Linked DNA regions of Daphnia pulex. The protein of the gene in region 2 purifies or fractionates together with the protein of the main gene of each other region. This does not show direct contact. Links are inferred from orthologs where the notes say so. Each region holds a gene or a part of one and is shown on either strand. Other genes may lie near its edges. The genes, in order: axin-like and low-density lipoprotein receptor-related protein 6-like.

Region 1 (15,606 bases), on a different chromosome or scaffold from region 2:
AAATACTTATATATTAATTAATTTTATAAGTTCTAACACAGCGACAGCTATAGAATACAAGTGACTCCGAGATGTCACAGTCTTAGTCTATTACGGCCATTGGCAGACTATTGATATGCTATCGTGATTTTTTAATGAAATAAAAATGACAAACAGTCCTTTGGATATTTTGCTAACGCATGTGATCTGACTATTTCTTTTTCCCATAAAAGAAAATAGACAAATCAAGCACTTCGATTGTAGTTAGATGTCGCTAGCATCGCATTGGTTTCTACTTAGTTCTTGCTTAAATTCCCGCCCAAAATGAGATTTATCTTTAAAAATGGCAAGTGAAAATGTGAATAATTATGATTACTTTCGTTTCAAATGAAAATTTGAAAAGTCGTTTGGCTTGAAATTCTTAACTGCCAAGTATAGCTTCACAAAAAACATAAAAAACCCCGACTTATAATGAAACCAAGTTGGATGTCGAAATGAATGTCCACAGTTATACAAAACAATTTCATAAAATTGTAATGAAACGTTTGCGTATTAGTAATGCTTCAGATGAAGTGGCGGTTTTATTTGGGCGGGATGGAGATAGTGGTAGACGAGGAATCGGAGTTGAACACATGTCATTCCTTATCTTTCAGAGAATACTCGATGGATGTGTACAAATCAGACGATTGCGAAGTTAAAAAAAAAATATTCTGGCTAAGGCAAATCTTCCAACATTTTTTTTTCTTAAATTAGTTTTTTTTTTGGCCCAGACAAAGTATAAAAAGGAAATGCAGGAGGGAAGAAAGAAGTCTCAGCGCGACAATTAAACAAATATTCATTCATGCTGGAAAAAGGGTAAATTACTACGACACGATTGTTGCACGCTTCTCAAAATAAAAGAGAAAAGAAATAAAAGAAACTCGATTTCTATCAAAAGACAGGAGTTAAGAGAAAAAACAACGCGTGAATCGATGAAAAACGACAATGACAAAAATAGAACTGACATCATACAAAATAAAAGACAGGGCTGAAGATTTTGAAGGAGGGTAATGTTAAGCTGCAACATAAACTCAGGTTCATTTTAAAGAGTTTTTTTTTGTAAAGTTTTCAAGACAATATCTTTTCCATAACATCATCAATTCTAATCGACAAGCTTGACGATACCCAGCACTTTGTCTTCCCAGAGTGGTAGAATCTCAGAGTCGTCAATAACCTCCTGATTGACTGCCATCGCTACGTCGTCCTCGCAATTCGTCTTAAAGTAGTACCTAATTAACAAAAGATGATTAGAGTACAAAGCTTTGTGAAAAATAATTAAGAGTCTTCCTTACTTGTAGTTTCCTTTTTTGGGCACACAAATTTCTTTGAATTGCTTGAGCGTGACAGTTCGTCCAGGTATCCGGCTGCGGTAGGGCACGGGCTCATCTCCAAAAGTGAACGTCACAACAGTGCATTCTGTTGGGGCTGAGCTTCCTTCACCTGTGAATCAAAATGGAATGAGTGGGGGCGAACAACCAACGCTGCTGAATTGTTCCTTGTTTACCTGAGAGAGCTCCACTACTTGCTGGTTTCTTCATCGTTGTCGAGTGAGTGGAAGTTGGCTGTGATACGCTAGGTCTAGAATGATTGGATCAATAAATGAATCAAATAAGTGAATTTAGTTTTCGTTTTATTAAACTTACTTTGGCTTGGTTGGAGGACGATTTCTAGCCATATCGTCTTCACTTTGCGTTAAATGACCGGCGGAAGCTCCAGCTCGTTCCAGCGATTCCGACCTCGAAGTCCCGTAAGCGGACTTGTGTTGCCGACTCCTTCTGGAAGAAATGGGTGAAGTCGAACTCGGTGGACGCGACCTAACCATCAAAAAAGAAATTGTTAGAGATCCACCCGATTAGGCCTGAGTTGATTAAACAATTACCTGTGCTTGCTGGAAGACGGATCTCTATCAGCTTCTTGCCATTTGTCATTGGTGCTGATCCAGTGGAGCACTTTTTCCTTGGGTGGCTGTGAAGGCGGTGCCATTAGTGTTCCAGGATTAGGGTCCGTATGGAGGCAAAGACCACTGTCATGGACACGATCGTATTCTGATTTCTTGCTGCCGATGGCACTGCTAGCTCCCCCAAGAGAGGACGTCATACCAATCCGGCGCGTATCAGGAATTGATTGCGACTTGGAAAAGTGAGCTCGATTTTCTCTTCCGCTGTCACCTTGATCGAGAATCGCACCCGAGTCTGCTGAGTAGGTCGAACCCTTTTCGATATCCTGAAAATTAAAATATTCCGTAAAGTCCCAGTTCACGAAGAATTAGAATTGAATAGACATTTACCTTGTCTTTTCGCCGATGATGGGCTGAGGAGCGTTGGAAATAGCCGGGTCCATATGCAGAAGAGCTCATTATTGGTGGCCCACTGGTTTTCGTTGGAATAGCCACAGAATTCGGTGGCAATCGACGCCGGTTCTCTGGAGACCACGGCCGAGGTGAAGGTGCACCGGGTGATCGCAATGGCGTCTGATCTGCCCAGATTCTTTGGACGTGGTTATCTGTAAAAATAATAATATTCCACTCGATTAAGATAGAACTTCACAACAGATCAAATCGTGCACATTACCGAGAATCGATTGTGTGTCGGCTTCATTTGAAGAAGCGATTTTGGACAGTGCTTCTGCCAAAACACGAGCTGAGCATTCAGATCCGGGTTTGAAGCGGGCGCCTTGCGGGCATGGCTCATCCAATCCACTGGCTTCACTATCCCTCTGTATGAAAACAAATAGTTTTTGCTTAAAATGCACTTTGGCTGTTTAAAGAGAAAACGTGGGAAAATGCCACCAACCTCAGCGACAATCCGGAGCAACTTTTCTTCAGATTCCCGATCTCGTTTAACGGCTTCCAACTTTTGGATGAGCTCAGCGGCGAATTCTTGCGGCGTCTTGGGCATCACCTGCTGCGACCAAACAAGAAAAAACATTCCCTTTTTATTTAAAAAAAAAAACCTGATTCAGTCGTGATGAATGTCGAGGTGTATAACCTGTTCTTTGGGTGGAAGACGCTGAGTTCGCGGGATGAATGGCTGGTTTATAGACGGATCACGATTTCTCATACAGTCGTTTGAAATCTTTTGCCGAGCTTTGCGCAGTTGGTGCCGGTTAGGCTTGGCCGGGTAAAACAGGACAGAACCATCGCTATAAAACGACACGTTTGTTACAAGTTAATGTTGAACGAATAATTACTGAAATAAAATTGTTTGCAGGCTCTAAAACATTTAAAAAATATAACTAAAAATAAAGAAACATTCATTCGAAATTCTTACACAGAACCATCGGTCAGTGAGCGAGTGTCGTCCGTATGAGCATCAGAGGATATCTCGGAATCCTGGCGTGAAACGGGATTGTACGGCGCGTAATAGCTGGTTGTGTGCACGGAGTGATATGGGTTGTGGGGCACTCGACTACTACCCCGTAAATAAACGTAAAGAAAAAAACGGAAACCGAAAAAAAAAAACGAAATAATAAGTGAATTGAAATAAGAATCATAACGGCATTCCAATTAAATAAAAATTCAGGCAAAAGTTTGAAAAAAAAATAAAAAATGAGAAAGAAAGAAATTGATCATGCAATTTTTCAAAGACATTCTATAACGATGACTCACCTTGGGTAGAGGCCGCCTACTGGTCGGGATTCGACGTTCATCCGGACATTCTTGGTGGCCATGAGAGCGTCATGCGTCAGTGGGATTGGCTTGTTGAGCTCGACGGCAGGATAAGAGAATTCAGAATCTTCGTGCAAAGTAGGCAATGGCCCTAGGTGAGGTCCTCGATCATCTGAAGCGCCCGTTCCGGCGAGATCAGGGGCGACGGAAGATTTGGCGGTGATGTCTGAACCTCCTCCTTGACTCCGGCCGCTTCGAGGCGAATCCGGGATGCCATTTTGCATAGACTAGATAATTTATAAGAGGACGTAAAATGAGATAGATGTCAAAGCGATGAAAGTGATCGACTCTTTACTTGAATGTAAGATAAATAGACGTCCGAATTTAGGAAGTTGACGTAAACTGAGCTGCGGATAAGATCTTCGACATCCTTTTGCGCTTCGTCAAAGATATGCGCGTCAAGGGTAGCTTTGTTGGCCACTCGGTCGTTAATCTCACGCCGATTCAGTTCCGACACATTGACCCTTTTGAGCCGGATGTACTTTTTGTAAATGACTTGGATGATTTGGACAGCTTTTTCGGGATCTTCTGCCCAGTTTCGTTTGAGGCCTTCGCAGGCAAACCAAAACTGCAAAACAAAAAATGAGTGAAAAATACGAAAAAGAAATTGCAGTTGATGGGGACATACTTTGAGTAAATGAGAACAATTTTCCTGTTCGAGATATTTTTCAAAGAGTTCGACGCCGTCGGGATCGGTCAGGAGGAAATGAAGATTTTCAGCCCATCGCAAATAGGGCGGCGTTTCGACCAAGGGTGGAGACGTGGAGGCCGATCCTTCAGCCGGTTCGTAGCGGCGAGCCAAGTCGTTCTCGTCCATCGACTGGCCATGTCTGCGAGGCGTCAGGACGGGTGATGAACCTTTGGAGGGCGACAGCGTCGAAGGATGCGACGGGCCCCGCCTTCCGAACCGTGAAGCCCATGGATCCATCTTCACCTGACTTGACGGCACATTTTCTTCACCTGAATTAAAAACGCAACAACATTAGAATGAATGTAATAAGCACACACAAAGGCGACCAGTTGGATCATACCTGGGAAGACAGGGGGTCGAGGAGCAGATTCCGAAAAACGAATCACAGATCCACCTCCATTCATCACTTAACACTGTACAAGTTCGTTGTAGTCAACGGACGATAAATAAAACAGGAGCAGCATCACCTGGACACGAAAGAGATGCAACGAAATGGTTAGCACACATTTTAACATGGCCAGAAACTCGAATCACAACTTGATGTCACTGGTTAGAGCAAAAACATCAACATTGGACTCTTCTACTGAACCGAAGTTGGCAATTTCACAAAATAAACTAAACTCTGCTGCCACAGCAACTGTGTGTAGAGAATCCATCCAGAGAAATTCGTTCCCAGATCCCATATCCGGCTTTGGAAGACCCACTCTTCCGCCCACCAGCCCCCCCCTCCTCTTCTAGCCCCCCTCCTCACCATCAGAAAGCAAAAAAAGAAATAACTGCAAGTTTTTGGTGGGTAAGCATTGATTGGAATCGTTGGAGCGCGAAATATAATCTGACAACGTAACAATGAGTAGGGAGATTTTTCATTTTTTGGTGAGTGCAAGATAACAATAGGAAAAAATGGACTACAATAGAGATGGAAAAAACGGAGGTTGCTTACCAGGCAGCATCTAGTTCCAGACTGGTGAAATAAGAGGGGTGAAGCGAAGGAGGAGTTGGTTTCTTCTATGAGGCACGCTATGAATAAGGCACACTGCGACGAATCACTACTGCATCAACATAATTGGACGGTCTGTGGGGGTTGCAACTATTGGGTCGATCTCTTCAGTCCTTAATGAGGCCCGATATCTTCACATGAGTGGTCCAATTGTTGTCACGGGTTCTGGATGAAATCCTGTAATACAAGAGTACAAGAGTTATCGACCAGTTTGTTAACCATAAGCAGAAGCTATTGTGTTTTCCACTACTCAAATGTTCACAATATTTGACAGCTGGAAAAAACTGGATGAGAGCCCCTGGATTACAAATGAGAAGGGAGAGAAGAGTGAAATTGCTCTCCGAGTTCTCCCCACTCACTACAAAAGCTCTCACCAGGTCGATCAATACAGACTCTGCTCACAATCCTGACAAAAGAGTGATGCCTCCCCGTAGTCAAGACTTGCATTTCATTTTCCATCACATTCAATAAGTCTGAGTGGTAAATGGAGTTGCCTAGATTGCAAATAATCACTGGGCACGCGAGTCTAGGTAAACCCATCGCTTGCCCATTGTCACTTTTTCAGATGTGTATGCAGTAGGGGCATAACCTAGGGGCATCACTCTGTCAGATTTCTGTTTCTCCTCTTAATTTACCTTTTCCATCGAATTTTCACTCGAATTTTTTCAGATTAATTTCGGCCGTCGTGTCAACAACGGGCCACAACTCAGGGAAAGAAACAGAAAACACAAAAAAATGAAATAAATGAAACTCGAAAAAAAGACGGACGGCTTCTGCTCAACTCCAAACAACTCAGTTCCCATTCCCCCTATATCGTATCGAGAAACGTACACCCGATGTCTATATATCGATAGTTGGCTAGAAATCGATTCGCCAAGACATTCTTCTTCCTCACAAGTTCCTTTATTCTTTCTTTCTTTTTCTTCAGCTTTTCGCCATGACTTTGCAGGTGCCGACATTCTTTCACAAAAATCGCCTAATGATCTTTACTTTTTTTTACATTGGCAATAATCTTATGCATACATCTCGAGTGTTGCCTGCATAATGCTTCCATGAAAGGGCATCAAAGTGTACCGAACAAATAACACCCAAAAAAGAAGAAAAGGGGGGAAGCCTTGGAGCGGGTTCATGTAACTCAAATTCCTTCCTTCTGTGGAAATGTCGCCTCTGCTGTATTTATATATATATTTTCTAAAAAGCGATTGAGTTGTATATATAATATCACGTCAAAGTTAAAAGCTAGATCAATCCAGCCAGGTCGATCTACGCCTCCTGGCGTTTTGCCCTCACCTGGATTCGTTGTGTGCCATCAAGACATCATGTCGGTCTTGTACCTACTCTGATGATTGCCCTTAATGGTGGTTACATACATTTTCATAGGACTAGAGAGGGTATTCTTCTTCGGCGGTAGCCACCACACACTCAAGGTCTTCACGTCGGGCCAAGAAGAAAAAACAAGCCGCGCGATAATCAAGACTATGTGTTAAAAAAAGGAAGGCGGCGGTGGCGGCGGCGGCGGCCTTTCTTCTATTGACCCGCGGCTCTTTTTTGAGTATATTTCAAGTTAAAAAATAGAAAAATAAAAAAAAAGGCTTTTAACCAGCAGCATGCTGGCTTGCGGGGTTCGAGATGTTGATGTCATCTATCTCTTTCTTCAAAATGCTGGAGAGAATGTGTTGTCCGGGGAAAAAAAAACGAAATTCCATTGCCGACGACGTGTCAAGGTAAAGTGACTCTTGGTCGATTACGCGACCAGCAGCAGATGGATTCAAGCCAACAAAATGCCGCAGCATCGTAAATATAGATCAGCTCTTTTTCTTATTATTATTAGGATAGGATGGTGGGAATTGTTGTCTGCTGCCGCGCGGCGAAATTATCAAACGGCGGCGGCCGCCCAAAAGGAGGAGGAGGAGGCCACTTCCGCCGACAGCCAAGTTGATGGATGTCCCGGATCAATTTGCATCCGACTCAATTGCATCTTATATAGTATATTATAATAAAAGATGGATGTTCTCAAAATATATCTACCTACCTGGAATCAAATCGAAGCTGCTGCTGCTGAAGTCGGCAAATTAGTTCCACCGTTGGACCAAAAGATGATGGATGAACAACAACAACAACAATTGCACTTCACCGCGGACACGTCTAAACACCTCGCCGACCAACTCCTTTCTTATACCCCCACCAGATATCTGTGTCATTCGGGTAGGAAAAAAAATAAAGATGGATCTGATATTTATACCGCGAGTTAAAGGTCTTGCCACATTTTGAGGCTTTTATCTGCGCTCAAAATTTTAAAAAGTGGCGGCGGCGGCGGTTTGGTCTATTGGTCGCACTCATTTGTCTCGCACGATGATGATGATCACTCAGCGGACCCTGGGCAGTCTAACTGTGCAGCAGCAGCTTCATTGGGAATTATCTCTCCTACACACATACACACACACACATACAGACACGGGGAAATCAGATTACACACTGGCGCGCGAGCGCGGCGGTTTCTTTTTTAACTTTTGGGGTAAAGAGGAAAGAGAAAAAGAGCCGCGCTACTCCAAGATAAGAAAATCTTAAATGAAAGAAAAGAACGCGACATCTTGGCGGCGCTAGTCATTAATACTGATGCGCCATGGATATATAGTGCATCCGTTGTATACAAACAACGAGTATTATTATTATTATTATTATTATTATTTGGAATTTATTATTTTATAAGAAAAAGAGGGGGTCTTTTATGTTCATTAATGCGCTAGCAACGCCAGATTTTATCATCGACTTTCATTAGGGAAAAAATAAAGAATTTGAGTCATCGAGATTACTGGCGATAAAAGATGGATTGATTCGCGTTTAATTCCGGCCTATAAATGTCGTCCATGTCTTGATATATGAGTCACACACAAGAATAAATCTACGCAATCTTAAGAGCTCAAGAGAGAATTGATTTCATTTTGATTGACACTCTCTCCAGATTAAGTTTCGAATGGTTTAAATGACGAGAGAGGATATAGTATTATTTACTTCTTCTTCAAACACCGTAATATAACGGTAGATGTGTACATCAAGTCATCAAATCCTGCCCCGTAAAACTGCCAAGTCACATTGAAATGAAGATTTTTCCCTTTTGAAAAACAATTTTTTTGTTTATCCCTTTCTTTTTTCAAACAGATTCCAAATCTTTTAATCGCCTGTAGCTTCGTGTGGGTTCAAGAGTGAAACACTTTTACGATATCTGCCGCCTTTTATAATAAATCATCGACACTTTGAAATCTTCACTAAAGCCTTTGGCCATGAAGTACGTACACAAGGATAACTAGGAGGACGTCTAGCGGTCCAACTTTGGACTCGGTTTTGAAAACCTTTGCTTACGTCACACGATATGGAAAAATTATAATAAATAAAAAAAAAACGCTTAGATCGGCTGAATCGACACACATTGATCGGAAAACATATGTTGCGAAATAATACGGACTTTGCTATTTGTCCCCCGCGCAAGACCTTTGAATTATTGACCAGTTCCGGATCAATAACTATTGCGGATGAGTAGTATATTATGAATGAATTTTGAGCAATGAGTTTTCGGGCTTTCTCCTGATGGGTGCACGCAGGTGCAGCCAAATCTCATTATCAGTTTGAATAGATTATATGATTTTCTTTGCGGGAAATCGTATTACACACAAAGGGGGTGGAATCACGCAAAGTGTTTCAAGGCGATAATTATGAGCTTGCTCAATTCATTCATCGTTATGTATTTGTTCCGATTGAGGTATACTATAGTGATTACTTTGTTAGTGAGACAGACCCGTATGATGTTACCGACCGTTTTGAGCAAGACAGGTAGACAAATCTATTTCGTGACATTAGATAAACGTGTGTATATAGTATGCTAAAGGTGAAAGAACATTTGTTTCGCAGTAGCTGCTGTTGACCAATGTTTCGATTTGACATCGAACCGGTATAACCGAATATCTATAATATCTTTGTGAAGTGACGAAATTTAACCTTTCTTTATCTTTTTCTCATATGAAAACTTTTTACCGTGTTTTACGCATCAGAACCCGGCTAAGATCACGGTTCAAGATTTTGAAATACAGAAATGGAATCTTGTACAAATAATATAATGTTCGTTGGACCGGATTTCTTTCCGCAAATAAAAGACGTCACCTCTTTGGTGAATCAATTTCCCGATAGTGATTCTACATATGTCCTAGACGAAACTGTCCCTTCCACCATTCGATAAAATGGCGCTGTCCTCACAATATTTTATTTTAAAAAAATTAAAAATATAATTTATGTGACAATGAGACAGGGAAGATGATCGCCACTCAAATTTCTTTCAAAATAAATAAAAACAAAGATAGAAGATTTGCGCAAGTCAGGGAGCCTTTGTTTAAGTAAACACAAATGTACCATTGTACCTAGTGTGAATGTTAACCGTCAGCTTTAGTTTTGGAAGGGTGGGCGACATTAGATGGCGCGTCTCTTAAGTCATCGGTCAGACCGCGTTCACGACCAAGTCATTATGCATAAGAGAAATATCGTGATAAATTAACTTTGGGACTCTCAGGTTAATTTTTAAAAATATGGCAACACCTTAAATCTGCCACTGTTTACCAAAAATTTTAAAATCAAGGGAGGAACTTAAGTGAGGATGTAATCAAAAATGGCAGATTGAAATCGTTGAAATATCCTTTTTTTAAAATCTATAGCCTTCTTCAGTCAAACTGGTAATGGGCGGTGTTTGTATAGTTGTACAATCCCCGTGTCCAGAAGCTTGATGAGGAAACAAGAGAAGTAACTGACAACTTCTGCTGCCAAGCTGCACAGCCAGCCATCTCCACCGTAAACGCACGTCAAGAACAGGTCAAGAAGTGTGATAGACTCATTTAAAAAGGGTAATATTAAACCCCCCAGAAAATTATGAATAGCACATACCATCGAATTTAAGTACATACTACCATAAATGATGAGGAATAAGAAAAGGTCAAACAACACGATTGAGATTATATATGGGACAGAACCCGATTTATTGAGAAAAAGAACGAATGAAAAAAAAATTAAAAAACCGAAGCTAATAATGAAAGAAACTGAACCAGCCCTACAATCGATAATGGTCAACTTGCTCGGCTGTCTCCATCGTAACTTACCGTAAAGAATTGGTGGACTCATTTAAGGGTAATTAAACCCCCTGTCAAGGTAGTCAAATGTTACACTGACATGTAGGGTGAGGACAACCTACTTCTCTGACTGTTAGAGGAGTTGTATTGTGTAAGCACTTTCGTACTTCCCAATGACAAATCATCTTGTGCAGTTCAAAGTATATTCAGAAGTCCCCACGCACAACAGCGACACACCAACTCCATTGACAGGTTCACCCACCATTCCCTTCCGGATTGTTACGAGGAGGGAGCGTCATCACAAATCAACAAATATCAATCGCAAGACTGACATTCAGCTTCTAACATTACTTAACTTCGGTAAAAAAACACAAAAAAACAAAAACCAAATCAACTGCAACTCATCCAAAGAAAATCGAAGATTAAACATAAGGGCGGCTTTAATTCCTGTAACGTTTCCGTTCTTCAAACGCTTTATAATCCCACATTTTCTTCTCTGTTTTCTTGATCTCCGTCATGTCTAACCAGCTGTCGTATTGGTACCGAAGTCTCGGTTCTATTAATAAGTCCTTTGCACGATTAAGTGCCTGGCTTAGTCGGTTTGCCTTCATCAACGCTTTTTCAACATCATCTGTTTGTATCTGATTGACCTTGTCCGGATGGGCTTGTAGAATTTTCTCTTTGTAGGACTTCATGATTTTTTCGTCGGTGTCTGTCCTTTTCACGTTCAGAATCTTGTAGTAATCTGGTAGCGCGTAAGAGCTGAGCTCTAGTTCGTCCACAGTGTCGTTCAATTCGCAGTTTTTCTGTGTCAACTCGGCAACCCTAGACTCCAGCTGCATCAAGTGTTCGTTTTGTTCATCGATTACTTTTGAATACCTCGTATCCATTTCTTCCATCTCAGTGCGGTGGTTTTCTTCGCATTCATCAATTATAGAGTACAACTCTGAGATAATTTCTTCAAGTTCATTGTTTTTGCAGTTTCTGTTGTTAAGCAAAGTTTGGTAGTATTGTCGAATTTTTCCGACGCTTTCCTGGTGGTCGCTTTCTAACTCCTGGATTTTCTTCTTTGACAAGGCTTTTTCTTCCTCAAGTTCTTTTGCTTTGCTGTCTAGTTGGAGGACAAGCTTTTCGTTTGCGCTTTGAAGAATATTACGGGCAGCGTGGAACCCTCTCATCTTTCGTTGCATAGATGTATTATGAGCGCATATCTTTTTGTACTGATCTTCAAGTTCCTCAATCCTGTTATCAACGACCGTCGTAGGAAGTTGCACATCCACGGTTTGAGTCGACTTATCCTCCTGTTCCGGGACTAGTATCACGTTGTTCTGTGCTAGTGCGGACTTGGTGTTGGCAGGATTAAAATCATCAACGTCGTCGACATTCAGTGCTGATTGGTTGTTCTTCAGGTGCGAGATGGTTTTCTCGAAGTTGGTGATGTCTCGATTTTTGGCATACAGTTCACACCTGGTAGAAATTAGCTCGTCACGTACCTCGTCATGTTCTGAGCTCAACGTGGAAAGTTCAAGTTTCAGTTGGATAACTTGATTTGCCAAACGTTCATTGTCTCTTTTCAACTTGCCATTCTCCTCTGTTTGGAATTGCTCATCGGGAATGCTGGTTGTTGTTAGCATTTCCGAATCCACTGTGAGCCGCTGTCTGGTGTCTTGACAAACTTCCGGTTCAACATCGACGCTGTTTGGGTATTCAGCTGATGAATGCTGATTTTTGGTACTAGGAGAAGATTTTTCGGTAAAATATTTCACCCAAACCCAAATCACAACGATTTCCAATAAAAGACCCATCTCGAAATATCTGCTGAAAACTTTTGTAAACCAAAACTACTAAGCAGTCTTATTATCTGTTGGCGTTGACTTGGGCTTTATATAACCTGCCATGGGAATCATTACTTATGCAGGGCTGTTTTTTCCTTCTTTTTCTTTCACCTCTTATTAGGTTTTTTCTTTTTAACATTCGTACTGAACTTAAATCATAGTTTATAAATTTGCGCATGTTATTCAATTAGTGTGAAGTTGATTGAAAATAACTATCAACTCTTTTTTTCCATTTTAAAACTCAGCATTGTGCTCGAGAAAAGTCGAGATTACGGTTTGCCTGGTTTGAAAATGCGACAGAGCGCCTGGGCGGTAAATTTGCAAACTAAATAACTTGTCTAAACTTGAATTCGTCGATGAAATTTATTCGGTAAATTAGTCAAATCGTCAAATTACCAAGTATATTTATTAAATTTGAGTTAAAACCCGGTTTAAACCACCATGGTTTTTTACACTGCAAAGCGAACGACATTGTAAAATGTGTTTAGGGATGAATGTTTCGGCTTGTTTTGGAGAGGGGGTAACCAGCAGTAGAACACAAGCGAGTAGCGTGGGTTGTTTCACTGAAATTTACAAATCGTAATTTATTACACAAAATGCCGAAAAGCGAGTTTTATTTACGATATTATGTTGGGCACAAGGGAAAATTCGGCCACGAGTTTCTCGAGTTTGAATTTAGGCCTGATGGTAACTAAATATCATGTTATTTGATGTCACATTTGCACCTTTCACTAAATACCGGGTCGTCCTAATTTCTTTTTAGGCAAACTGAGATACGCCAATAATTCCAATTATAAAAATGACACCATGATCAGAAAAGAGGTAATTTCAACAAGATATATGTTTATCAAGATCTGCAACATTTGATTTCTTTCTTTAGGCATATGTTCATCAAAGTGTTTTGAATGAGTTGAAACGAGTTATCGAAGACTCTGAAATTCTTCAAGAAGATGATTCCCTGTGGCCAACTCCTGATCGTGTTGGAAGACAAGAGCTTGAAATTGTCATGGGAGATGAACACATTTCATTCTCAACATCAAAGATTGGCTCCCTTGTAGATGTCAATCAATCAAAGTAAATCTATATTATTTTGAAACCAGTAAATTAGTTTAATTTCCCTTAATATTTTACAGAGATGCTGATGGATTACGTGCATTTTACTATCTGGTCCAGGATTTGAAGTGTCTCGTGTTCTCTCTCATTGGTCTCCACTTCAAGATCAAACCCATTTAAAGATTTTGACTGTGATGTGTATTGTCAAATGTCAATTTTCCATCTAACTATCCCATATGGTGTATGATTTTTTTTTGTCCAAGTAATAAAAAAGGATTTCTTGAAGAATTTTGTTTTAGTACTCAAACATGACAAAGTGTAGTGTATTCATGAACATATATTCTTTTTATAATCAGACAAAAATGAAAAGTGAAGGATACTGATTTTTGACAACAGAAGGGTGTTAATTTGGGTGTGTAATGTTATCAATAGAAACCCTGGAGGATGAAAGCCGTTGTTTATAGATTTTTCATGAGCTATCTTGTTCGAGATATCTACATTACGGGACCTCGCTAGAATGTAGAATGAATATGATTAAAAAACCGGTTAAACGTCCTTGCGAATAGGAAAGATCGATTTTACGCAACAAATGCACGAGACCTGGCGATACTGGCTTATGGCATTTCTTGTAAATGCGTAAATAAAACTAACTGGCCTACTTTTTTCCAACATATTTTGCAATACTTTCAACTGAATTATTTCCTCAAATATTTTCCGAACCGTTAAATGAAATGAGTCAATGTCAATGACACATCACATCCCACGCTATTTAAATGTCCTAAGCTCTCTCCCCTGCCTACACTGAAAATGTTAACAACTAACTGAAATAGATACAATTTGACCTTAAATTTTAAATTTTATGATTTCCAAATCATTTAGTAATGGAACCAAGTTTAATTCACTTTCTTTAAAAAAAAGTTAAGTAAAATAAACTTGTCAAGTTCAACCTGAGCAATGTGTGTTTAGGGTAGGTGTGTTGCAAAAGAAATTGCCTACCCTAGGTTTCCATTCCTTTGCTTCCGTTTTGCGGATCGTTCTGCCTTTACGTTTTTTTGGCTGTCTGTTGAAACATGTCATACTCGAACGATAACAGGTACTGCTGCCGATTTCGTGGTTTATTTGTCTTTTTCGTGTCGTTTAAGTTTCCAAAGATACGTCCTTAGTCGCTTTAATTAGTGCTGTTACTCTGGAATTTATTAGATCAGTCATTCCTTGAGAGTTAAACGTTAAAATTTGGGATTTTGTCACGAGTGCCCCGGCTGGTACATCATGGCGGCGTGGGGTTGATTCATTTTTTGCTAAATGCTTTAACTGAATTAATATGGAGTTATTTTATTGTGTCCTGTAGTAATATTCATTGTGATAGTTGTAATCATGTGGTTTCATTTAACATTCTATGGTCTTCCACATATGCAAGTTAACTCATTCTGAAATGTCTGTTTCAGGGAAGAGAATTGGAGCGGGAAGGCTCCCAAGAATGGGACTGAAGAACGTCCTGAAGGAGAGGCTGAGGACCGTGGAAACTATGATGGCCCACCAGGCATGGACCCTGACGGTGTCATTGAGTCCAACTGGGATAAAGTGAGTTCAAGGACACCAGAATCTCAAGTAGCATCGTAACATGAAACATTACTTTTTTTTACAGATTGTGGACAACTTCGATGAGATGAAGTTGAAGGAGAAGCTGCTGCGTGGTATCTATGCTTATGGTTTTGAGCGTCCCTCTGCCATTCAGCAGCGTGCCATCTTGCCCTGTATTATGGGTCATGATGTTATTGCTCAAGCCCAGTCTGGTACCGGCAAGACGGCGACTTTCGCCATCTCGTTGTTGCAGCAGATTGACATCGATGCCAATGAATGTCAGGCGCTCGTGTTGGCTCCCACTCGCGAGTTGGCCCAGCAGATTCAGAAAGTATGAGTCAAGTGGTTATGGGTTGAGTGAACTTGGATTTTAAACAGATTTCAACAACTTAGGTCGTTTTGGCCCTTGGTGACTACATGGATGCGCAATGCCACGCTTGCATTGGTGGAACCAATGTTCGTGAAGATCTTCGCAAACTGTCACAAGGTGTCCACGTCGTCGTTGGAACTCCAGGTCGTGTCTTCGACATGATCAACCGACGAGCATTGAGTAAGTCCATGATACCATCTTCTTCATTGTGTGCATTCGTTCATTGAAATTCTTTTCACAAATATTCAGAGACGAATTGCATCAAAGTCTTCGTGTTGGATGAAGC
Region 2 (15,606 bases):
GTTGATGATTCAAATTCCGTGCGTTCACTTCAGGCAAAGTAACTCCCGAACTGCTATTGCTGCTGTTGCTGTTTCCGCCTTGACCTCGAACGGAAAGGAGACCGTAAGCCAGGGCAGAAAGTACCCGGTTGTCGGCATGCGGAGGACAATGAACACCAATCTCCACCTGACGTTGACCTTTGTTGATTTTTCGTTTGGTACGGCGTGAAGGTGGTTGGGCAGGATTGCGAGGATTCGTTTCCGACGGACTAGTAGCTTGAATCTGTTGGCTGGTTGGATGAAGCAATGAAGAGGTTGACATTTCGGTCGACAACCCGGCTTGCTGGTGGTCACTAACGTTCACATTGGACGGCCCTGAAGAGAGGAGATTCTGTCTCGAGTAACTGCGGAAGTTGTCCCAGTAATTGTTGGTTCTGGTGCCGGGCGGCACTCGATTGTTCAGCGTGACCTGCGGATCGAATCGGTCCATACCAGCGCACTCGTAGGCTGAGGCGCTCGATCTTTCAGCTTTAGGATCACGAAAAGGGTTGTGATGAACTTCACTGGTTCTGCCGGATGCTTCAGGGTGTTGAGGATTCGATTCGAGGCTCAGTTGAACAGTCGCCAAGTCTCTTTGAAGTTGAGTGAGCATATGGCAACATGTGCTCACAGCCTGAGCCAGAACATGGAAATCAGATCCACTATCGTTCCACGATGAGTTCACAGGAAGTCCCGATAGAGAGAAACTTGACGAAGCGTTTCGATTAACGGCCGCGGCATTACGGCTGCTGAATTGTAAATTGGAAACGGCCGATAGGAGACTTTCAGTCACCAAAGCCAATCGACGTTGCTCGACTACCATCAATTCACACAAGGAATTTGTTCGTTCCAATTGATTCTCTATTCGATCAAGACGTTCCTGAGCAAAAACAAATATTTATTGAAATATTGAAACAATTTATGTTGAAATTGACACTTACAATGGGGACGGTTGCGGGTAAACGTATTCCATTCCTGACGGATGTCTCAGCACTGTGCATGCGTTCATGCGACGTATGGTCATCTTGCCCGTTAACTTCCTCTATTCGAGTTTCTTCAGCTTCTTCGTTGGAGGAATCAAAAGAAGGTTCGCCTTGCGCAAACACGTCCAACAATGAACCGTTTACTTGGGACGAAGTTGAATATCTTTTAGGACTACCGAGAGAATCGTGACTCAGATTATTCTGAGGTGAATAGAGATGATTGCTGCTGGCACCTATTTGCTGCTGGAGTGTCCCTTTGTTCAAATGCCTGGGGACACCAGGGTTGATTCTTGGTATGGTAGGTGTTCTGGATGGCCCATTTGAAGACACATTGCGTAGAAAATCCAAGGGAAAATCTTTGGGCTTGCTGTTCTTCTCCTCATTCTGTTGAGTATAGGGATTGTAGTCGAGGTCTATGGAAACATTTTGCATCAATTCTTGCAGCTGGATAAGTCTTTGCTGAGCCTCTTGGAGTTTTCTAGCTCGATTGCTAATGGAAGTATAAACTGTTTCAGCATTGTTGGTCATTTCAGCTCTAGTTGCATTTGGAGTTGGTTCATCTGAGAATGGGGAATGCATCTGCTGTAACTGGGACATGGCATTATCATACTGCCACTTCTTTTGCTGCAGTTCACGCATCTTCTCTTGCATCTCCCTGTGCTCTCCTTCAGATGGGTTGTTGAGTGCTGATCCGGATTCATACAGAGATGTGGGTCTCTGGAAATCCCTGAAGGACGAGTTTGTACTAGACAAGAACTGATGATTGTTGTCTCTGACACCATTTGCATTCGCTGTTGAAGAACTTGTTCTAGAAGATCTACTTGTTCTACGGTGATCGGGAACATGATCAGAGTTCCTGTAATTGACGGATGAATTATCTTTATAACTAGACGATGACGTATTGCTCGTCACAGAGAGATTCCGTTGGCGATTTCCATTCACCGGTCTGCTTCCTGACATGATAAAATCACAGAATACTAGTCAAGAATGAAATTATACAGCCTGTTGTGTCGTCGTAGTTTATATGTAAAACAAAACAATAATGAACTGTTTTTGACGTATGAAGAATATAAATAAAACAAAAAAAAACTTTCTGCGTTTCGTCCGTTAGTTGACTAACAGATGGTGCTTTGACGTAAATACCGACGGCGTCGTTTATTTAAAAACGAATAATATAATTCAATTCATAAAGATATATCGAATAAACTATTGGATTTATTTTAAAGAAGAATTTATAACCAAACAAGTTTTGGGAAAAAAGACATGATTCAAATATGATTGATTTTATATGTTTCTTCTCATCGGCAACGCCACAAAAGCGCCACAAGTCACTGTGTGTGGGTTTCGTCAACTCCAGCGTGAGTGTCTATCGCTCACTTTTCTTCTGCAAGTCTCCAAAGGCAATATGGTAAAAGAGAGTTTTATCGTTAAATATTAGCAGTTTTTAATACCATCGACGTTTCTTATGTGTGTTTTATAGATTTGTGTGCTAATATGTATAAGTTCGTGTTGAGTTCATGTCTGATCGTTCTTTTCTTGTTTTTGTAAAGGGGGCCCACAAAACCTTGAAAGTCAAGAAGCTTCTGGCCAAGAAGATGAAGCAAAATAGGCCGATTCCTCAATGGATTCGTCTGAGGACTGACAATACCATCAGGTAATTACTACTAGCTATTTAATTCACAGTGAGCTTAATTAAGTCACAGTGAGCTAACAGTTTTTATATTACTCATTTCTAGATACAACGCCAAGCGTCGTCATTGGCGCAGGAAGAAGCTGAAGTTGTAAGGTGGATTGTCAGCAGAACCTTGAATTGCTCCTTGGTCAAAAGTGTGTTGAACCAACAAATTCTTCTTATTGTCGATGAGGATTTTGGAAGACGTATATGCTACTTGTCCAATGGAATCATACAAGGATCTATTCAAATGTATCTTGTTGTCTTAAATCATTTGCGAGTACTGTTCAGTTGGAACGATCTTAAGAACACCATCAATTAGCATTTATTTGTTGGTCCGTTTGATTAGATGCAAGTCGGTAAACATATCCATAATGTAGTAGTATTTCAACTTTTTATTAGGGGTTAGAGTAAGTTAACTCTTTGAATCGAGGTCCAAAATTCATAGTGGGTTAGGTTTGGAAAAGCGTTAGGGCAAAGTGGGAGTACGATATGAACGAGTTGGATTGATACCTTTTCATATTGAAAAACAATTCCCAAGGGGTTATGAAAGGGTCAAAACTCAACAGAAGAAGAAAAGGTAGAAGAGAAAGAGGCTGTATCTGGTGGATCTGGATGCCATAAACGGTAAATAGAAAAGGAAAAAAATGTACGGCAACGTTGACATACCATTATAGGGTAAAAAAAAATTAATCAAGATGGCGCCCAGTGGCTTGGTTTAGCCAGTGACAACTGTTTCGGAATTTAGTTGTTTTTGCGAATCATGAAGTTTTCATCAAACTGAACCTATAAGAAAACAACAGTTAATTGTTCGATTAGCGTTGTATAAACTTACCACAGTGTTTTACTTGCAATGTAGCTTGTATCATGTGCTTGGTGTTTAAATCGAAACGATGCGATTGTTGGTGCAGCTCTTGGCGGTTTTCCTTGTAACCGTCCAACAAGGTGCCTCTTCTCATCCTTGGCTTTTATTCGCCAATCGCAAAGATATTCGTTTGGTGGACGCCACTCAGCCAAGGAATCGAAACAACAATGTCACCATCATCATTAAGGATCTCGAGGATGCTGCTGCCCTTGATTATCATTATGAGAAGGGGATGGTCTGCTGGACAGACATTAGCCTTGAGATGATTCGATGTGCCTACCATCAGGGAGCCAATTTACTTAATAAAACAAATGTTATCACTACAGGTAAGATAATATTTTAGTGCAAGCTTTCGTAGTTGCTTAATTTTGTTTTTGTGAAAGGTTTGGTGTCCCCAGATGGGCTGGCGATAGATTGGTTGGGGAACAAGTTGTATTGGACAGATAGTGAAACCAATCGCCTTGAAGTTTCAACACTGAATGGAGAAAACAGAAAAGTTCTTTTTTGGGAGGACTTGGATCAGCCAAGAGCCATCTGCTTGTTTCCAAAGAAAGGCTTGCTGTTCTGGACCGATTGGGGAGAGAATCCCAAAATTGAATCTGCTGGCATGAATGGTGATCTTACAACAAGACATGTCATTATCAAGGATGAAATATTTTGGCCCAATGGACTGACTATTGATTATGAAGAAGAGGCCATATTTTGGGCCGACGCCAAGTTGAATATCATCTGTTCAGCCAGTCTAACTGGTGCAAATCGGAGAACAGTAAGTCAGGGAGATTTACAACATCCGTTTGCTTTGACCATGTACAAAAATGTGCTGTACTGGACCGATTGGCAGACCAAATCCATTCATTCATGCAATAAGAAAACGGGAGCTGGTAGGAAAGCTGTTCTTGGCTCTTCTCTTACTCCTATGGACATTCACGTGTACGACCAAGAGAGGCAACCCTATAGCGCCTTACCGTGTCAGAATCAGAATGCCAAGTGTTCTCATCTTTGTCTCTCAGCTCCTTATCCTCCATGGTTCACCTGTGCATGCCCCACAGGGTCAAAATTAGTCGACAATTTTACGTGCGCTGATGGTGCTCAACAGTTGTTGCTGTTGGCAAGGCGTACTGATCTGAGGCGCATCTCACTCGACACTCCTGACTACACAGACGTCGTTCTACCTTTGGATGGCGTCAAACACGCCATCGCAGTCGACTACGATCCCGTTGATGGATTTGTCTACTGGTCAGATGACGAAGTTCGAGGCATTCGTCGTGCAAAACTTGATGGCAGTCAACAGGTAATTCGTCATGAAATATGCTTTCGTTACTGTTGTTATTTCATTTCGTTTTCTAGGAGGATGTTGTTATGGCTGAAGTTGACCACCCGGACGGAATTGCTGTAGACTGGATCGGCCGTAACCTTTATTGGACAGATACTGGGACGGATAGAATTGAAGTTGCTCGACTCAATGGCACCTGGCGTAAGGTGCTCATATCAGAAAATTTGGATGAACCCCGTGCCCTGGCCTTAGATCCTGAAGTTGGCTGGATGTTTTGGACTGATTGGGGTAAAGAGCCGAAAATTGAACGAGCTTCCATGGATGGCTCGGATCGCGTAGTCCTTGTAAATACTTCCTTGGGCTGGCCCAACGGTATCGCTCTCGATTACGTTCAGCGTCGCCTCTACTGGTGTGATGCAAAAACGGACAAAATTGAAGTGGCTGACATGGACGGCTCCAAACGCAAAGAAATACTCAGCGAAAATGTGCCCCACATTTTCGGTTTCTCCTTGCTCGGCGATTTTCTCTACTGGACAGACTGGCAACATCGTAGTATTGAGAGAGTGCATAAGTGGACGGGCGAGGATCGCAAAATCATTGTAGATCAGCTCCCAGATCTTATGGGACTGAAAGCAATCAATATCACAGAGGTAGAACAATTCATTAAAAACATTTTGTTTTGTGCCAATTTTAAAGCTTATGAATTTGCAGGTTCGAGGGACAAATCCTTGTGCTGTTGGAAATGGTGGTTGTTCCCACTTGTGCCTGAACCGACCAGGCAAATATGTTTGTGCCTGTCCCATCGGTTACGAATTGACGGCTGATGAGATTAACTGTGTGATTCCGGAAGCTTTCTTGCTCTTCACTCGTAAAGAAGACATTCGCCGCATCAGTTTAGAAGCAAACCACAAAAACGTTATCATTCCGATTGCTGGTGTCAAAGAAGCTAGTGCCTTAGATTTCGACGTCAACGACAATCGCATTTACTGGACAGATATAGGAGTCAAGTCCATTTCGCGAGCCTTTATGAACGGATCAAATCTGGAAGTGGTGGTTGAATTTGGTTTGGAGTATCCAGAAGGCATGGCTGTCGACTGGGTGGCCCACAATATCTATTGGGCAGACATGGGAAGCCATCGTGTGGAAGTGGCCCGACTTGACGGATCTTCGCGGCGTGTTTTGATTTGGAAAGATTTGAAAAATCCACGCAGCATCGCCCTAGACCCAGGAGAAGGCTACATGTACCTCGGTGTCTGGGGTTCTGTCCCACACATTGAACGCGCTGGACTAGATGGGAGCCAACGCATCACTTTGGTCAATGGTGTAGGTCGCGTCAACGGGTTGGTGGTAGACTTTGCCGACAGACGCCTCTACTGGGCCGATGTTGACGGCAAGCACATTGAGAGCTGTGACCTAGACGGCAAACAACGACAAGTTGTGGTCTCGGGTAATATGCCTCAGCCGCACGGCCTGACGCAGTATGAGGAGTTTATTTACTGGGCTGACTGGACAACACGCTCGATCGAGAGAGCCCACAAGCAATCGGGTGAAAACAGAACACGTATCCAAACTCAGGTAGATTACGTTATGGATATTCTCGTCTTCCATTCGTCGCGACAGTCCGGCTGGAACCCCTGTGCTGTCAATAACGGAGGGTGTTCTCACCTGTGCCTTGCTCTACCAGCTGGATCTACTAGTAGTTCCTCACCTCGTACTCAGCCATCAGTTTCTTCTACAACGACCGCTGCATCTTCTTCATCAGCATCGACGTCGTCTGCTGCTGCAGCGACAAATCTACCAGCAACTACAGTAGTCGTCCGTCAATCGCATACTCATCGATGTACCTGTCCCACCCATTACGAGCTTGTGGCAGACAACAAAACATGTGTCGCCCCGAAATCATTTCTTCTCTTCAGCCAAAAGAATTACATCAACCGACTTCTTCCGAGTTCCCCTGATAGCCCGGATGTGATTCTGCCTATTCGAGGCTTGAAACAAGTATTATATCCTTTTTATTTTTGTATTGGTTATAGAAATTTTGCTTCTAACGCTTATCTGTGTATTGTTTCAAGGTTCGTGGTATTGAGTTTGACCCAGTGGGACAGCACTTGTACTGGATAGACGGACGATCACAAACCATTCGTCGCGCCCTAGATAATGGGACACAAGCTTCAGTTGTTGTGGCCAATCCAACACAGTCACTACATCCATACGATTTGGCAGTGGAACCTTATTCACGAGTTCTCTTTTGGAGTTGCTCAAGGTTCAATGCCATCAACGCTACCAGAATCGACAATCACCTTTCTGTTGGTATCCTGGTTGGAGGTCCGTCCACCAGCGACAAACCAAGGAACTTGGCCGTTCACCCTGTCAAAGGATGGCTGTTCTTCACCAACTTAGTCTCGCCGGCCCGAATCGAACGGTGCCGTTTAGACGGTAGTGACCGCGTCAAGATAATAGAAACAGATATTGACCAACCTTCAGCGCTGACTATCGACACAGAAGAGGAGATGATCTTTTGGGCTGACACCAGTTTGAAGGTCATCGAAGTTGCAGCTCTAGACGGAACCAACCGCAGGAAGTTGATCTCTTCTCAATTAGTTCAGCCTATTGCATTAACTGTTCACGGACGGCACCTTTATTGGTTAGAAAAGGATTCACAACTCATCGAACGAGCACTCAAGATTAACGGTGAAGACAGACAAAGAGTCCAGGGTCGGATTCCATATTTGTCGGATTTACTTTCAACGTCTACACTGGATCCAAATACTCTAGCATCCAATCCGTGTTATCCACCCAACTCAGGCTGTGGTCATCTTTGCGTATTGATGGATTCCGGCGAACGTGGCAGATGTGCTTGTCCATTAAACATGATACTCGAGGATGGCAAAACGTGTGTTGAACCACCTGCTTGTTCTCCAGAACATTTTACCTGTCGTTCCGGAATTTACGAAACGGGACCGTCTGGAAGCGGGGCCACTCGCTGCATTCCCCTGTCGTGGCGTTGTGATGGTCAGACGGAATGTTCAGATGCTTCGGATGAAGAAGATTGCCCAGAATGTCGGCCAGATCAGTTCCGGTGCCAGACCGGCCAGTGCATCGCTAAGAAACATGAATGTGATGGCGTCCCTCAATGTATGGATCGATCAGATGAACAAAGGTGTTGTCCCCTTGGACAATTTTACTGTTCAGAACTTTGTCTTCCCGATATTCTTCTTTGCGATGGTGTGCCTCATTGCCCGGATGAATCCGACGAATCAGTTACTTCCTGCGCAAACCGTGTGGCTAATCCGTTAGCCGGTGATTCGTCCATCAGGACTACTTACATCATCGGCATTGTGGTTGGATTGGGATCGGTTGCACTCCTTTGTGTTCTCTTTTTCTGTTGGCATAGACGACATCACAGCCACGCTGACCCTGACGAAGGAGCCCACGATCCTCTCAATCCAGTTGCGCCCCGGCACACTATTGTACCCGGCCACACTCAACTGCAAACAGACTATCAACTTCAATATGTCAGTAATATTGTTGGTGAAAGGACGGCAGGTGTAGGAGCATCCTCTCACCTCGGCAGCAGCGCGGTGGACCTCTTGAGCGGCCGTGGAGTGAAAAATGGGGGAGCCATTATTGTGGATGGAGGTGGCGTCGTGGTTGGTTCAAGTTCCAGCTGCCAATTGTACGACCGCAGTCATGTTACTGGTGCATCGAGTTCGAGTTCGAGCGGTCCTGGATATCCTCAGGAGACTCTAAATCCACCGCCCAGCCCGGCAACAGATACACGATCTCACTGCACGGAACCATACTGCTGTACAGCTGTGAGTGGTCAATCTCACAAGTCGCACACATTGAGCCGTCAGACTGCTCGTGGGCACCATCTGGGACATCAACCCAGGCTAAGTGGTACTTCGAGCCAAGTTTATTCTACTTTACGATCTTATAAGCATTACAAAGTCCGCAACCAGCCTCCACCACCCACACCCTGCAGTACCGACAACTTCGAAGAATCGGATTCGCAAGTGGCTTATCACAGTTCACCTTCGCCTTCGTCTATACCCAAGATGGGCCCAGGATTTAAAAATGCTGGTAGAAGGCAACAGTCTTCACATCGACACCAACGATTGGGAGCGGACTACGATAGTGATCCTTACCCTCCACCACCTACTCCAGCAAGATCACATTACGTGTCAGATGCATCATGTCCGCCATCACCTTCGACAGAACGATCATATTTTAATCCTTTACCCCCTCCACCTTCTCCATCACCTCAGTAGATTTAGATGTTCTACAATTTTTTATTAGATTTTTTTCCCCATAAATGAACGCGGAATCGGAATTATTTGAACGAAACTGTACAGCTATTTTAATCATGTAAATAATTTCTAACAAGAAGACAATCATGTGCTCCTTGACTTTCTTTTTCTCGATCCTCTCCTTCCACCTGGGTAGCCGCGTAACCCATCGTGTTATCTATGAATATATCTATTACTACTATGCTCCCTTTTGATTGAGTGCAAAATTATGAGAAAAATTTGGTACGGTTGACATCTCATTTCGTTACTTCGTTTTTTTTTCTCCCGGCAACTAATTTCTTTCCCAAGTTTCGTGAAAATACGGGCAGGAGACTGCCTCATTGTGCCAACCACTCCGTTGTATTGCCTTAAATAATACACTGTGGTATCTCTTCTTATGGAGTCTTCAGCGTCCGATTGATGTTCAACATCACAAGTCAAGTCTTTAAAAAAAGTTAAGACCGCAACTTGGTGGACACTGGGCACTTAGTCAAAGTGTTCTCTATTACGGCCATTGGCGGGTTATTATTACGGAATGTCATACTCATCTTGTTTTAAAGTAAGCTATTGCTATTTACATACAATTATTTTAGTTTCTGGGGGGGGGGGGGAATGGAAATTGAATATTTCTATCGTGGGGTTTGTTTTTCATATCGCACCACTTGTTAGATTCTTTTTCAGGTTCTTACGCTTCTAATTTGTAGATATCCCCGTATCTCTGATCAGATGTCTCATCGCATCTGATTTGTCATCGAGAGGCTGTAAGCAAATGGGGCATCTCTTTTTTTTACATTAAAAACAGAAAATATTTCGTGTTGATTAATTTTGTGTGTTTGTTGACAATTCACTTATTTTCGTAGATTATTTACTAATAATCTACTAGCTTTAAACTCGGTCTGTGTAATAATTTCTAAATCAGGCCTTGAAGGGCGTGACGAATTCAAATTTGGCTGCTGCGTGCAAGCAATCCAATTGGCTGTCGCTAGGTGGCGCGAATGTTTTCAGGGGACTAAATTCGGCCATTTTGTTCCTTGACGCAGCAGAAGTGGGATGCCGGTCGTGACGTTTCCCATGATGAAAATGTTAAGGTATATGGCAATCCGTCATAAAGGTATTTTTGTTAATTTCTTAGTGTTACTTAATGTTAAATTTCGTTGTGTTAATTGACAGGTGATTTCAATACCACTTTGTCAAAACATGTAACTCGGACTTTCGAGAGCCTGTCCATTTTGCCGAAATGTCGTGCCTCGTGTCTTGCTGCCAGTCGTACGTCTCGTCCCTAGCAAAAGCAAAAGTAATTATGTTTATCTAATTTTCTACTAAAGTACTTGGTTAATATGACTAGAGATCAATTTGCATTTGAATACCTTGCCAATTCTAACTTCCTATGTAAAATTTGAGATATCGGAAAGATCTGTTGGACTGCGTAGCTTGTGTGTGAGCAGTACTCCTGGTATTCCTTTGTCCTAAAGAGTCCTGTGTAATTGTGCACACACTGTCTTTCCCCGATGGTAATTATTTTGTTTTCTTAAATAGGTCTGCTGTTGGTTATCTTGTTGCAGCCAGGTGGAGAAAGATGTGATGGGGACTAATTGAACTGTTGTATGCAGCGTGTGGTTCCAGTGTTATCCAGAAGTAGCTGTGCTGGCGGTATCCTGAACTAGCATGAAGCAGCCTGAAGTTGCCAGTGATATCCGGGTCGCTGACTTTAAATATTTTTCTGTTTGTATTTGTGTATTTTGCCCTGCCAATGTTATCCTGTGTGTGAAATAATCTGTTCTCTTTTGTGTGTTTTTTTTGCTCTACCAGTGATTTCCTGTGTTGCAGTCTTGAAATGGTTTCACTGTCGTCTTTGGCGTTTTTATTGTGCAGTATACGATTGAGGCAACCTGATCTATGTCAGGTTTGACACAGTCGACAACTGCTAGATTAAATTCCGGCTTTCTGCACCAACAAAATAATAACGGCACATGTTATTATCGCGGTTGGGAAAGTCACAGGCCCCCCCCTCCCTGGGGGCCATAAATATATATCTATAATATTGTGTTTGAATAAATAAAATAAACATTTTGCATAGCAAAATATTTTGTTAATTTTTTTAATAAAAAAAAAAGAATGAAAGGACATCGCCAATTTTTGTCGAAAAAGACTTAGTAAATAAATAATATGGTGGTTGTTTTATGAAGCGGAAAAAAATGATAAAAATTTGGACAGGAAATTATTTATTTTGGTTATAAATTAAATATAGGTTGTAATAATCGTTGTATGCATAGGGAAAAAAGAACAAAATAGGTTTGTTTCATATTTTATTGTTAGCGAAGTAATAATATTGATATTGGTCATAAATGTGAAGAGCGAACAAGTTGAAACGTTATATGAGGAGATACAGTTGATTGCGAATCATAAGGGAGAATTACTTCGTGGTCAAACTAATATTTCTCCAAAAATACATCAGAACTTCTCATTGCTATTTCCCTTTCGACCAGACGAATAACCAACGGCGGACATGCAGTTTACTCAGGGAAAAGGGACAACAGATATGCATTTGTAAATTGTGCAGTCTTGAATTTCAGCAACCTCTTTTCGGCTTCACCAATGGATCAAGTCTGGAACGGCGGCGTACGATTGAACTGAAAACGACAACGGAGATTTAGTTGCAAGTCAATAATTTAAAAAAAAAAACTCATCCAGCATTACCTCAATGTGGGTACAGGTAGCAAGAGAATACACCAACAAAATGCCAGACAACTTTCAGGAGACACCAACTTTTGCACAACAGCTCAACACTGCATGGACACCAACAATGTTAGTCGAAGTCTGAAGTAGAACTTCCAAGTCTGCAGAAGATCCATTTCAGCACATCTCCAAATTGGAACATGACTGCCGCACCACTGCACACCAGACATCACCACCATTAACAGCTCCAACACCAAACTCGCAAAGAATTCCTACAAAACAAAAGAATGTTAAAAAACCAAGATTATTTTCAAACAAATACAAAAAAATTCAGTTGTGTATGAAAAAATATTGTTAAAAAACTACAACTTTTTACAAGCTGATGAAAATAGTTTCTAAAGGATCTTATTCTAAGCAGTTGGTAGTTTTTCAAATGTCTCCATATATTTCTAAATCAAGAATTCTACTCCCAACTTGAGTAACTTCTAAGCAAAGAACAGCACATGCATGGACTAAAATTTAAGCTAAATGCTAACATACTCAAGTTGTTTTACACAAGTAGATGTTACCATTTCAGATTTCCTTCCGTTTTCTTCACATTTTCATCTCGCAACATGATAAAGACCTCATCAAGGGCATGATCACAGAGGCATCTTGTTGACTTGGCACTGCACGTTGAGAATAATTTCCACCAACCTGTCACAAATTAAATTAGTAAAATCAGAGAGTAAAATATACTTTTAAAATTGTGATTAACTGAAGTGCATGTCTTCACAAGCTCAATTCAAGTTCAGCTCTCAATTGAAAAAATTCACAAAACTATCAAAGAAAAATATTGGCAAATGATGGGTTACTTAGGATTACTTATGTATGATAATTCATAATAAAACTTTCTATCAGAAATTAGATTACAGAATTTTAATGTGGAAAAACAAACTCTTATAATTATTAAGTTACTCAATATTATTACTTGTACTGTTCTATAGTACTTCAACATGCAACGAAACGTGCAACATGGCGCAAGAGACGACATTTTGGACAAGTGTACTTCAGGCATGGCCACATGGAATTGGCTAGCATAAATTTAAGGCCATGTAACCCGTAAATTAACCCGTAAATTAACCATAAAAAAACATTAACATTAAGAATGAAATCAGGAATTACCTTTTTTATGGAGAACATGTCAGGAAAGAAATTACCTCGCAATGACTAACGTAACCATCCTCGACGGCGTCTCGATAGAAAAGAAATAAATGGACGTCATTCGTCTCAGAACTTTGGTTTGATGCCCCCTCCCCTCCCCTAATACCAATACACTAGGGCTGAATAGTTCAATCCCTAAACACACTGAAATATTTAGCCACCTAGTGACAGCACTTGGCATCCACGGACGAAAAATAAACAAATATTTGTCTCCGTGGAATACATTTAGTAGATAAAAAAAAGCAATTATCGAAAAATAAAAATTAACAAGTGTTAATTTTTTGTTGGTGGAATAGTTATCGTCAGTCATCACCAGAAGGTTACCACACAGCAACTGCGAATACATTTTTACAGGGATGTGCAAAGTAACTAAAACTGACTAATTTGACAACTGAAAATGATTAATAAAGGCTATATATAAAGCCACTTGAAAAAAAAGGGGTCAGTGATGGTAAGGAGGCTTGGAAGTTTTCACACATGAAGGAAAATGATGATTATCGAACTTGTTAAGCAGTAAGATACCCATAATCAGGAATTTCGAGTAGAAACAAAATATGAGTACAAAAATAAACTGTGCAAGCACTAGAATCAGTAAAGTAACTTACACTTAAAATGGCGTTGGATTAATCACTAATAAATGACGAAGAACAAAGCGATGAGGCTAACAGTCCTAACACAATCTAACTACAGCGAAGGGACCGATTAATGCTGCTCACTTAGGACAGCTTGACAGATTTCAGAAGTATAATAAATTTTATGATGAGATTGTATTCTTCATTATATTGTGGTAGGGTTTTATATTTTATTTATCAGGAAGTGTTTTCATTGAAAACACTCGTCCAAAAATTTTATCAAGCATCCTTTAAGACGTTTGACTATCCGACATTTGGAGAACGACATCCTTAATAATCGTAATTCATAATTGCAATTATTATTTTAATTGTAATTATATAACTCGCATCGCTCAAAGTTGTCTTCAAGGATACAAGATCGGATATGTCTAAATTAATGGTTGTAAAACGGCTCTTTAAGTACGGATTTCTTTATCAATTTAGCTAACAGCTGAAGCGTCACAAGAATGCGATTTACATCAAAACCACTTCATTTTTAAAATATTAAGAAATAGTTTATAAAGCGCAATTTTTTCTTATCTAAAGTTCATTTTTTCCTTTTATGAGCATGTGCTTAGTTTACTTGTGTTGTAGTTGTAATAGGACGAAAAGGCTATATTGCGTAGGTTTCTTTGATTACGAGTCAAACCCCTTGCGGATATAGTCTTCCGAGACACAAATGGCGGAACATTTGTGGGAGGGGGGGGGGGGTGATTCTTTCTTTTGTCTGTAATCTTTAAGCCTTGGCCCTTGGGGTAGGTAGGTAGATATGATAGGTGCGCGCAGTCCCTTTAAGCCAGAAATATGTTTGAAAAATACCCGTATTCGGCAAATTTGAGGACTTGTGTTCTACCATCTGTCAAAACAAATGGCTAGTAAAAATCTTAGCATAACAAACACACAATTCTTCTTTTTTGTCCGATATACACACTGGTACCGAGGAAATTTAATAGCCCCTCATACTGTGTGTTAAGAATAGCTGAGTGATCACGTAACAAAGAGGTGTGTAGAAATTTTGGGTTCTTGAAAGGATTGACTTATTCTTATGTAACTTTTTATTATTTTAATTCTTCTCGCATTTTTATCATAAGTTTCGTCTCTGTTTGATTGGTAGGCTAGTCTAGCTTTTGATTGGTAATGATCTCATTTAAGTAAAATTTTAACCTTTTCCATCGAATCAGCTTCGTATTCAGCAGTGGCTATTCAGCGGTTCAGTCGCAATACGTAATCGCTGCAAAAAATCGATAAAACATTACAAACAATTGATAAATCAAGGGTTCGTACAATTATTCTAATTTAATAAAAACTACTTAATTTAAAAAAAAATGCAACGATCTTGACACAGTAGTGACAAATACCGTCAATAAAATAAATAGATAAATGGACAATTAAGTTGTTTTGTCTTTTCATCCCATAGCCCACGGTTCTTGTTCGTTTGTGTCCAAATAGAAAATACCTCGAGCACTTATTGACAGAAAAAAAAATAGTGAAATCAGTGCAAATGTTAAAAATGAGTGGAAAGTCGATGAAATCACTTACTTTAAAGAAACTGTGTCTCCCATAAGCTCTTTGTCGTTTCCATCACAGGAGCCGTTCTGGAATGACTCGTACGAGTCACAGCGCAGTGATACAAAACCAACTTCCGTGTTGATAGATTCCGCAAATAAATCAACAGCACGGCAGTGATGGCAGCATGCTACAGAATAAAAATGTACCAATTTTAATTATGTAACTCATTTCTTTTACACGATTGATAACTTTAAAAATCTTACTGTAATCCGGATCCTGACAACCGGGCTGCTTGTGGCCTCCATTAACATAAAAATCAACATGGCCAACTGGTTCAATGAAAGCAATTTCTCCATTAGAAATATCTCCTCCGTTTGTATGAACAATGTCGACAAATTCTGCATCACTGACGTCCAATCGGGTATCTGTTTCATTCAATGTCCATCTACCTTCCGCTGGATCCAAACCTGACATTAAATTTACAAAACACGTATTTTTTCTGCACAA

Evidence for each region.
Region 1: the proteins of low-density lipoprotein receptor-related protein 6-like (region 2) and axin-like purify together in Homo sapiens (affinity purification with western blotting; 7 studies listed by BioGRID and IntAct, with this or other methods). This does not show direct contact. The link is inferred for Daphnia pulex from reciprocal best matches to the Homo sapiens genes LRP6 and AXIN1.

Annotation. Positions count from the first base shown.
Region 1 is NC_060025.1:2,832,214-2,847,819, reverse strand, and holds axin-like, read right to left. Parts: upstream 7,557-15,606; 5' UTR 7,406-7,556; intron 6,231-7,405; exon of another isoform or gene 6,009-6,230; intron 5,971-6,008; exon of another isoform or gene 5,748-5,970; intron 5,551-5,747; 5' UTR 5,317-5,550; intron 4,844-5,316; 5' UTR 4,781-4,843; coding exon 4,717-4,780; intron 4,646-4,716; coding exon 4,314-4,645; intron 4,254-4,313; coding exon 3,981-4,253; intron 3,913-3,980; coding exon 3,626-3,912; intron 3,429-3,625; coding exon 3,288-3,428; intron 3,160-3,287; coding exon 3,006-3,159; intron 2,922-3,005; coding exon 2,811-2,921; intron 2,734-2,810; coding exon 2,589-2,733; intron 2,521-2,588; coding exon 2,306-2,520; intron 2,242-2,305; coding exon 1,898-2,241; intron 1,833-1,897; coding exon 1,662-1,832; intron 1,597-1,661; coding exon 1,523-1,596; intron 1,459-1,522; coding exon 1,311-1,458; intron 1,248-1,310; coding exon 1,121-1,247; 3' UTR 491-1,120; downstream 1-490. Other genes in the region: uncharacterized protein MCAP_0864-like, read right to left, coding at 10,922-12,286; protein mago nashi homolog, read left to right, coding at 12,913-13,003, 13,080-13,138, 13,197-13,390, 13,450-13,549; eukaryotic initiation factor 4A-I-like, read left to right, coding at 14,440-14,462, 14,815-14,950, 15,015-15,281, 15,344-15,500, 15,570-15,606. UniProt on the Homo sapiens protein: Component of the beta-catenin destruction complex required for regulating CTNNB1 levels through phosphorylation and ubiquitination, and modulating Wnt-signaling.
Region 2 is NC_060019.1:8,497,102-8,512,707, reverse strand, and holds low-density lipoprotein receptor-related protein 6-like, read left to right. Parts: upstream 1-3,243; 5' UTR 3,244-3,566; coding exon 3,567-3,864; intron 3,865-3,921; coding exon 3,922-4,829; intron 4,830-4,885; coding exon 4,886-5,461; intron 5,462-5,522; coding exon 5,523-6,809; intron 6,810-6,883; coding exon 6,884-9,082; 3' UTR 9,083-9,498; downstream 9,499-15,606. Other genes in the region: uncharacterized protein LOC124190611, read right to left, coding at 1-898, 960-1,961; pancreatic lipase-related protein 2-like, read right to left, coding at 14,997-15,054, 15,130-15,286, 15,363-15,566. UniProt on the Homo sapiens protein: Component of the Wnt-Fzd-LRP5-LRP6 complex that triggers beta-catenin signaling through inducing aggregation of receptor-ligand complexes into ribosome-sized signalosomes.